Caenorhabditis elegans: one gene and its partner. The protein of the gene in region 2 interacts with the protein of the main gene of each other region in a pairwise test. Each region holds a gene or a part of one and is shown on either strand. Other genes may lie near its edges. The genes, in order: pmk-1 and tag-196.

Evidence for each region.
Region 1: the proteins of tag-196 (region 2) and pmk-1 interact in a two-hybrid assay, tested with the Caenorhabditis elegans proteins (one large-scale study listed by BioGRID).

The regions. Positions count from the first base shown.
Region 1 is NC_003282.8:8,147,274-8,152,075, reverse strand, and holds pmk-1 (Mitogen-activated protein kinase pmk-1), read right to left. Parts: upstream 3,283-4,802; 5' UTR 3,271-3,282; coding exon 3,122-3,270; intron 3,078-3,121; coding exon 2,512-3,077; intron 2,145-2,511; coding exon 1,780-2,144; intron 1,389-1,779; coding exon 1,335-1,388; 3' UTR 810-1,334; downstream 1-809. Other genes in the region: Mitogen-activated protein kinase pmk-2, read right to left, coding at 3,745-3,894, 3,945-4,149, 4,234-4,330, 4,380-4,451, 4,780-4,802. UniProt on the Caenorhabditis elegans protein: Serine/threonine kinase which responds to activation by environmental stress and pro-inflammatory cytokines by phosphorylating downstream targets. As part of a MAP kinase signaling pathway, plays a role in modulation of lifespan and immunity.
Region 2 is NC_003283.11:8,592,963-8,598,015, reverse strand, and holds tag-196 (Cathepsin F), read right to left. Parts: upstream 3,103-5,053; 5' UTR 3,098-3,102; coding exon 2,996-3,097; intron 2,909-2,995; coding exon 2,705-2,908; intron 2,274-2,704; coding exon 2,161-2,273; intron 1,981-2,160; coding exon 1,861-1,980; intron 1,815-1,860; coding exon 1,347-1,814; intron 1,143-1,346; coding exon 964-1,142; intron 914-963; coding exon 666-913; 3' UTR 547-665; downstream 1-546. Other genes in the region: F41E6.7 (uncharacterized protein), read left to right, coding at 42-165.

The DNA of each region.
Region 1 (4,802 bases), on a different chromosome or scaffold from region 2:
GTTGTCAAATAGAAAAGAATGAAAAATTGGAATGGACATTGACCCACACTCAATAGTTTTATAAAACAAGCTCTTATCAGTCACAATTTCTGGCAGAATAGAGAAAATAGACGGAGACATGAACTTGTCGTCATTTCAATTGAGCACCGACATCTCGTGATTCATTAATGATCAAATCAGTTAAGCTGATCGAGAATAGGCATAAATAACATATAAATAATATTTCAACATTATTATGTCACATTATTATGTCACTTTTATTATTCTTACTGTTTTATCTGTATGTGAATGTTAAGACGAAACAAAAATAAAAATGGAAAGAATGTAGAATGTTTTGCCCAATTAAGTATGATTTTTATAAGAAAAGCCAGTGCAAAATGTGAAAACCTTTTTACAAATGAAAATTATTCAGCTCACTGATCTACTCATCGTTTGTTCTAAGAAATCACCGCAAAATTATTCCATCGTGCGTGTTATCTACTGCTTTCTTTTTAGAACTGTAACTTTCTGTCAAAAAACTCGTGAACGTGTGTAGGTTTCTTTAAAATATCAAAGGACCCAAAAAAGCAATAATGCTATATCCTATAAAACACTTTTTGAAGAGAACCTCAGTTTTTCGCTTTGATCTTCTCGGATAGCGAGAAGTTTAGCTTGATGAGCGAATTCATTTAACTAAGGTATTCTATTTTGTTACACTATTTGTTGGATACAGTATATTTTGGCAGTATCAACTGACTTTCAACACTTAAAGTGGCACTTGTAATAATATGATACTGACAAAGAAATTCTTAAAAATAAAGATTAAAAGATAATTTTTATGATTTTATCAAGTTCATTGGAGAACAAAACGAAATAAACATAGAGTGCAATGAAAAGGGGGAAAATATGACTTTAGAAATTTAAAAACTCAACTATCAAGATTTTGAAATTTCTCGAAATCCATAATGAAAGTTAAAAAGCTTGATGGTTGTGTATTTCCAAGGTCACTTATACAGGCTTCATAAAAAACAAGGGGCGGGGTGAAACGAGCACCTAATAGATCAAAACATCTGGAGAATTTGATTTAAGAAATTTTAATTGAAACAAAAATACTAATTGGTTTTTTAAAACAAATTTGAAAACAGAATAAAATTATAAGCGAATCAGTTAGAGCTACCTTGTTTTGTTTTGGAAGATTTTATTTTTGTGGGGGGATAGCACATTGTGAAAGTGAGATTAACCTTTTCAGAGCAAGAAACTGCCTTGGGATTGTAAGATGTCTCAGTTGGCTTTTTTTTTTTTGAAAAATTTGAAGAATTAAATTGAAAAACTGATATACAAAAAAGAAAGCAATGCTACGATTCCATTTTCTCCTCATCTTCCTCTTCGTCAGCAAATGCCACGTTTTTCTGAAAATGATCTCATTATTTCAGTGAATAATTTCCGTTTTTTCTGAGTTTCCTGAGTCAACTTTTTTTTCATTGATAATTTGGCTTCCAAGAAATTGAATATGACTCATGTCTCGTTTCTACTTAACCCCCCGCACTGAATCATCCTTATCATTCATATCAATTTCATAACAAAGTGTAAAGGTTTGGGTTAGGTGTAACTCAACGTTAGAGTAGTATAGGTTATTTATAGAATTTCAAAAGTATTCGAATTAAATAATAACCGCTTAAATTGATACGTTTTTGACAGTCGGAAATGAATTTTGATCACAAAATGAACCCACTGGGGGTGTCCTTCGTTTGATTTTATGCATAATTAGTTGGTTCAAAAACAAGTGTAAATATATATTACCTGGAAATCACTGATCTCTTCCCAAATAATTTTCTTCCATTCATCAATTGTATCTGCCCTTACATCATCATTCAAATCCATTTCTTCTGCAATTGGCTCATCAGTTTCATCGTGATAAGCAGCCAGATATTCATGCTCCATAGCTTCTTTTGCAGTTGGACGACGATCTGGATCAAGGTGAAGCATCTTTTCAAGGAGATCGATTGCTTGAGGAGTTGCTTGAGCAAACAGACGTTTGAAATCACGGCGAGTCATTTTTGGAAGATTTCGAATGTAATTACGAGCTTCTTCTGATGAGATCTTTTTAAGGAATTCTTCATCTGGTGTTCCAGTTACTGACATGATACGAGTCAATTGATCGATGTCTGAAACAGTAGTTTTAAATGAAAAGTCTACATTTTCAAAAGAAAATAACGTTTGTGTTTTGTTTTTTGTTGTTTTGTTTGTTTTTATTGAATTATCTTAGTCCATATTTTGGTAGTTAACACCGCGACTACAAATGCGCCTAAATCCTCAAATCAACTGGAGATAAACTACCAAAATTTGCAATAAGAGGTAATAATTAATTATAAATTTTTTCCGCCTGCTACGGTACGAATAACTTAGCAAAATGATTTTTTTTCTATGTTATGAAACGCCAGTGTACAATAAAGTTAACAACCATAAATATTTACTCTGGTTTTTTGCTTGGAAATTGAAGATATTTGGAATATTGTAGAAAAAAAGTCTTACGATCAGATCCAGGGAACAATGTTTTTCCAGTGATAAGTTCTGCAAGAATACACCCAACTGACCATACATCAACAGTCTGCGTGTAATGCATCCAATTGAGCATAATCTCTGGAGCTCTGTACCATCTTGTTGCCACGTATCCAGTCATTTCAGAATCAGTTTGACGTGCCAATCCAAAATCAAGAATTTTCAATTCACAATCCTCATTAACAGCAATATTTGATGGTTTAAGATCTCGATGAATAATATCTGCAGAATGAATGTATTTGAGTCCACGAAGAATTTGATAGACTAAGAATTGAATGTGGTCATCGTTGAGTCGCTGAATTTTGAGAATATTTGATAGATCAGCTCCCATCAACATTGATACAAAATACACATCCTCGATATCATTTACATTCTCATTTGGAGTGAAGACATCAAGTAGATCAATTATATTTTCATGACACATACAACGAAGAAGTCGGAGTTCACGATATGTACGACGGGCATGAATTATTGATTGAAATGGACGATTGAATTTTTTGATTGCGACGCGAGTCCCCGAGCGAGTACATTCAGCAGCACTAAAAATCGAAAAATAAAGTAAAAATCAGTTGAAATGACATACCAAACAGTTCCATATGCTCCGGTACCAATTGGAGTCAAGTTAATATAATAATTTGGAACAACCCAGACACTTCGATTAAGCTCAACGACATAGTATCCTTCTCGTGGAGTCGGATGAAGTATATGATCCATTGTTGTCTGTGGAAACATTGGCTCCGTTACCTGGAATCATGTTTGTAAGATTTGAAGTAATTATTTTGAAAAAAATATGATTTTTTTGTGTACGTAAAACCAATATAAATGTAAATATAAAAATTAAGCGGCAATTTGAACCGATTAAATGTTTAAGAGTATTTAGAAAATTGAATATTTACATTAATTCTTTATACACTTCAATTTGATAAATGAATCTAAATGAATAATAAATTAAAAGAGGCTCTGAGGTCATGGCAACTTATAGGATTAACGAGAAAGTTAAGGTAAATCACAAGTCTATGGTTTCAAAGGAAAAAATTGAGATTTTGTGGAAAAGAACATCTGAGATCGATTGTTGGATAATTAGAGATCAAGGAATTAGGGACACAAATTTGATTTTTAGTGAAATAAATAGTTTAGGGAGATACAATATAGAAAAAAGAAAATTCCACAGTTTTGAGATATTTTAGCACTTGAACACATTTGACTTCATATTTTCATTGGCTCTTCTTCCGTATCCGTACAGCTTACAAAACTTAGTCTTCGTGCCGAGTTTTGGAATAATCGAATCTCATTCCAAATTAACTCTCGCCAGTCGGATAACGTTGTTGCTCGTTCTTCAGCTGGATCAATTGTGACCTAACAAGAAAATTGGAGTACTTTTAGAGAAGCGAACTTAAATTTCGTACTATGCTATTTATTACCGTATCCATTGCAACTGGTTCATCATTTGGCACAGAGTATTCACGAAGATAGTCATGACGAAGAGCACTTGATACAGAAATTCTTCTGTCCGGATCCAAAATTAGCATCATTTCGAGAAGTTCGAGAGCATATGGAGAAGCCATTGGAAACAATGTAACGAAGTCCTGACGGATAATTGGAGAACGATTTCTGAAAGATTTTTGCGTAAACGATTTATTTTTTTTTTCAGTTCTAGTCTAGTAATTGAATTTCAGAAGTATTTGCAACACTAACTTAATATAATTTCGAGCTTCTTCTGATTGAATTTTGGACCAGAATTCTTCTTTTGGGGTACCCACAACTGACATTATCTTTGTTAGCTGATCAATATCTGCAAATTTTAAATATTTAAAGTATTAGAGGAATAGAATAAAACTCACGATCATCGCCTGGAAACAATGGTCTCCCGGATACCAGTTCCGCAAGAATACATCCAACTGACCAAACATCAACTGAAAAATTCAATATTTTGGTAACATTTTTAGAAGTAAAAAAAAATGATGTTTTTGTTTCATGTGATAAATATATCAAGTTTTTCGTTTATTTGAAAAAATAGGAAGTTGGAATAGAGAGAGAATTGCAGAAACCAGAAATACCAATATCAAGTCAAAGTTTATTCTTCATATTTTCACACGTTTTAGCATAACTACAAGAAACAGGTGAAACATGCTTTCAAAATGTCAGAAGTTAACCTCAAATCATATGATATTTAACAATTTAGTTCAAAGATTTTAGGTGACTATTTAAGTGCATAGAAACCAATTTCTTTTATTTACTCACCAGTCTGTGTATAATGCATCCAA
Region 2 (5,053 bases):
ATGTGGAGTTTTTTCGTGCACTTAAATTTGTATCATTATAGATGCTTCCAATCATCTTTCTATCGTAGTCCGCTTCAATTAAAAAAGAGACCTGGAAAACGAGCAATTGTTCGAAGATCCGATGTATCCAGAATGCTTCAATCGTTAGATACAAAAATATTTTAATTTCAAAGTGTCAAAAATTTTCTGTATATTTCTTTTACATTTTTATCAAACTTCTTCAGTCACTTCTATTCACCCAATTCTCTCACGTCAGAGAACAAAATCATGACAGATTTGCTCAGAACACGTGCAAATATCCGAAAATTTACCCTCTTTATCATTACTATTTGTTCTCAAAACTATATCATCTCTCATTTTTTCGTGTTGATCTTACTCAAGTGTTTTCTGTTTTTACTCGAAATCCCCCGTGAATTACGACTTTTTGTATAATTTGGTGAAGTATTAAGAATTTTTTACTGGGACTTTTATCTACTGTATTGCTGCTTTCTAAATGAAATGTTTTACGTGGATTTTAATGATTGCTCAATTAAAGCTACTTTGAAACTAAGTACATACAAACTTTATTAAAGACAATTTGAAAACAAATCGGAAAATTAAACAATTAAGTACATGAAAAGAACACACGTTTGACAAACAAGACAATTTCGAATATGATTATTTAATCAGTTAACAAGTGCAGACGTGGCCATTTCCTGCACTCCACACACATTCTTTCCTCTGTACAATTTGAAGTATCCGGCTTCTCCCCAATTTGGTCCCCAAGAGTTCTTGACAATCCAATATGGCTTGCGACCATCTTTTCCGTATCCAACAATCAAAACACCATGGTTAAGCATAAATGGCTCGCAGAAGATTTTGAATGGATGGACAACACCGTGACGGTAGAATTGGAGAGTGTTTGCGTTGAGACCTGAAATCGAGCAATTTTGAATTTAATATCGAATTTGGCAATTGACTTACCGATAGAAATTGGTCCCTTGGTGACAAGCCACTTTTGCATTTCAACTTCATCGTGTGGCAGCTCAACTGATCCGTTGATATACACAGCAATGTCCTTTCTCACCAAATGACATGTTTCACCTCTTCCATCATATGGATATGCATCTTCTGGCTCCAAGCCACCCATACGGATGATCTCTCTGAAAACAAAAAAGCATTTTTCAGGAACAATCAGAATTAACTTTTTAAACTAGAAGTACTTTGTGGTTTTATGATAAAAAACTAAAAAACAGTAATTATCTGATACGACAAACTTTCCAATTCTGAAAATATGAGACACATGTCGCATTAATTATTTCAGTATTCAGTTTTTCCCAAAAGAAAACGGAGAAATTGAAACATACTTGTATGCATTACTTGGCAATCCTCCATTACATCCCTGATCCATACTATCACAATCCACAAGTTCTTGTTCTGAAAGTGATACAAGCTTGTTCTTGGCAATGAACCATGCTCCTTCCACATTTCCTGTCGTTGAGAATGCCCAACAACTTCCACAGTTTCCTTGATTCTTTACTTGAGTAACTGCTCCTTTTTCTCTCCAATCAAATGATTCTGGAAGATCTTCTTCATTAATTGTGACATCATGTTTCTCGAAATTGGCTTGTTCCATTGGATATACTGGTTGTTCCCATTGATATGGAAGCATTATTTTCTTGAATTCCATTGTTGTCATGTCAGAAAACTTTGTGAATCCATAGACAGCGGTTCCTTGCTCATTTTTCTGAAGTTCTCTGATAACTTTTGCGTTTTTCTTGAAAACTCGGAATCTTTTTAGAACTTCTCTTTTGTTAGTGTACTTCTTCTCGTGTCTGGAAATAATTAGGTAAATTGAGAAAATAACGAAACAAACAATACCTATCAACAAAATCAAGAAAAGAATTCCAAATGACATAGTCTCTTGGACGGATGATCTTTGCCTTTCGGAGTTCCTGAACAGTGATGGAGTCGTCGTGAGTCAGTTGGATTTTGCGGTGACTGAAAATATTAACAAATTTCTATGTTAAAACATAAGACATAACAAGTTTCACTTACTAGTTAATCTTGTCAGTAAAAATATAAAAATAAAAAATATCCCAAAGACCACAAGTATTATGAAACATTTTTTGTTATAGTGTGATTATTTTTATCGGAAAAATTTTTATCGTCTTTACTTACTCGAACTTATCAATGTTCCTTGTAAACTCTTCCTCACAATTTCTGATGTGCACGATGTCTTTCAGACCATAACCATGTCTTTTTACACGGCGACTGATTTCAACTTGACACTTCTGCAATTAAGACATAAATCATTAAAATCAATAAAATCATAAAAATAATATTTTGTCTTGTAAGACAATTATTTTACTTTAAACTGTTTCAATTCGTATTTCATTTAATTTTGAAACTTTTTAGATTTGTTAAAAACTATAAATCTGATTGTTCTGTTTTTTACACGGGATAATCGGAAACTATACAAGACTTTTAGAATAGGTCGTTGGGGTCCACTTAGCACAAAATGTGACTAGTTTCAGAAAAGATTTGTAAACTTTATAAACGCATAATACTTTTTTCAAGTAAACATTCCACCCGGGTTAGGTGTGATGGAGCCCCATCGAGTGTCCAGTCAAAAAAATCTTGAATGTATTCAAAGAATTCTAAAATTATATTTCCTCTTCCTATTCATTTTTTGATCAACTATTTTTGGTTTTTGTTTTCTCACCTTGAGTGTATCCGTCTTCCGACACTTCTTCCCCTCAACGTCCGTCTGACCCTTCTTACAATCGGTTTTGACCAATGTGACAAAAATTGAATAATGTATTCCACCGGACAGTTTTCTTTCAACCTCCCATGTTCTATCGAGTTCCCATTTGTAGGCATCATTCGATTGCTGATTGAATTTTTCAACACCATGTCGCGCGAATTTCTACAACAAAAATAATTTGACAAGGTGATGGATGGATAGGATGACAACTGGTTTGATAAGGAATATAAAATGATTGAAATAGATTACCTCGTACAGAAGTTGGTCTTCTTCATTTATCGGCAACACTTTTGAGACAACTGTGTGGAGAGATGCAAGTAACAAAATTAGGCAAACTATAGGTTTACCCATTTTGGCTGAAAATAAGATCATGTGATAAGACAGAGAAAATCAGAAAGAAGTTTAGTAGGAAGAAGTTGACAAGATACAGTGAGATTGATACAATAATAAAAAAAAATAGTAAATGCTTCAAACCAAGATTTTGAGCCACCTGAGCAATTTTAACACGAATTTTATGTTTTTTTGATAATTAAAAAATCAAGAAGATCCAAGAGCTGGTGTTCTAAGGTGTCATTTGATAAAAGATAGATGTGGTTGGGGGTTGATGATGGGAATGAGGCCAGTTGTGGGTCATATGGTACCACCGAACAGCTGCCCAGTTGTGGTGTCTCCCAAGGGGTTGCGAGTGACCGTATGACCCGGCATTAAGAATAAAAGAGATAAATAGAGACGCAGCAGCAGTTAACAGGCACAAGAAAAAACCGGCAAAAACATGATGAGTCAAAAGGGAAAAGAGACGCAGGCCATCGGGAGGGTAGGGTTACACCTTTTCTGAAGGAGTTTTTTGGAAGACGAGAAGGGCACAAGACGACGTGCAAAAGGGCGGCGACCGGGCGGCTCAATTGAATTTCTGAGTAGGGTGGGAGACACATCAATTTGTTGTTGGCTCTAGTTGTAGTGGTTTGAAATTTCGATTCGAGCGGGGAAGGAGAAGTACGCGGACACTCTAATTCTATTAGGAAAGTGCACTAAACCGAAGTATCGAGAAAGTCGGGAAGAAAGTGAGAATGAGAATGGAAGACAATTTTCTAACTACAATATTGTAGAGTGGAATATATAGTTTTGCCAACTTTGAATCTAGGAATTTGTGCATTTATATGAACCTCACCGGTGAGAGTTTAAAAAGCATTTTAGGCATTTGACCTACAGATGGAAATTCGTTCAAGAAACTACATTCCAGCGCTCCATTTCCTAGCCCACGTTCTCACATCCTTTTTATATAAGAATGTTTTATCTATTTCAAGATAATAGAGGACATTGATGGGTTTGCAGACGATTTTTATGGGGTTTAAATATTTGTTTCCAAAATTTAGAAACTCACTTTTATTCATACGATTATATTGATCAGAAATGGTTTCATAATGTGAAAATAAGAAAATTATTCTGTATCGTACTTTTGCAACAAAAATCGCTTGTCGTGAACGTTTTGATTTTGAATTCAATTTTAGTTTGCATCCTAGTTTCTCTAAAATATCTGAAGTCCATTCAAAATTTTACAAAATATGGAATAAAATTAAAATTTTATCAGAAAAAACAGAATGAAAAAACTCTGAATAGATCACAAAGAGTTGTAGTATTTTCTGACTAATGTGAATAATTGTTACGCTTATAATTGTGAATTTCAGAAGGTCGAGAAATTTCGATAACTTTTTATTGGAAAAAATTTAAAAAAATTAATTTCAGATGAATCATACGCCAACGATCAGAAAATATGTTGAAAATATCGACATAAAGAAAAACAAGAATATAAAGAAAACAAAAAATCAATGTTTTAAATTAAACACCACACAACAAATTCCTCATGATTTGTAGCTCCGAGGCGCTATGTGTTAACTACATTTTCCAGTTTTCGGACACCAAGTATTTCATATTCTCATGTGATATGATAGAAAATGAGATTGAGGGTGATTTGTCGTGAAAATGAAGGAGAAATGGAAAAACAACAAGAAAAAGAGAGGTGAATCGAACGTAAACACTCATTTTATTTCTTTATGCTCCCAACAACTTTCTTCCAGCAACCAAAAAATAAGGAAGAATTTCTCTGGCATTTGCTGGCTAGATGTATAGATAGATGTGTGAGAAGAATAGAAACTGAATTATTGAATTTGTATCGACTCAGGCGGAGAGCAACACACGAAAGACACAAAGAGCACAAGTACACAGAATGAAACAAATAAGTCCCATCGTCTTCAGTGTCCCGTGAGAATTCGTTGACAGATGATGATTCTTGGATTAGACGAACAGATA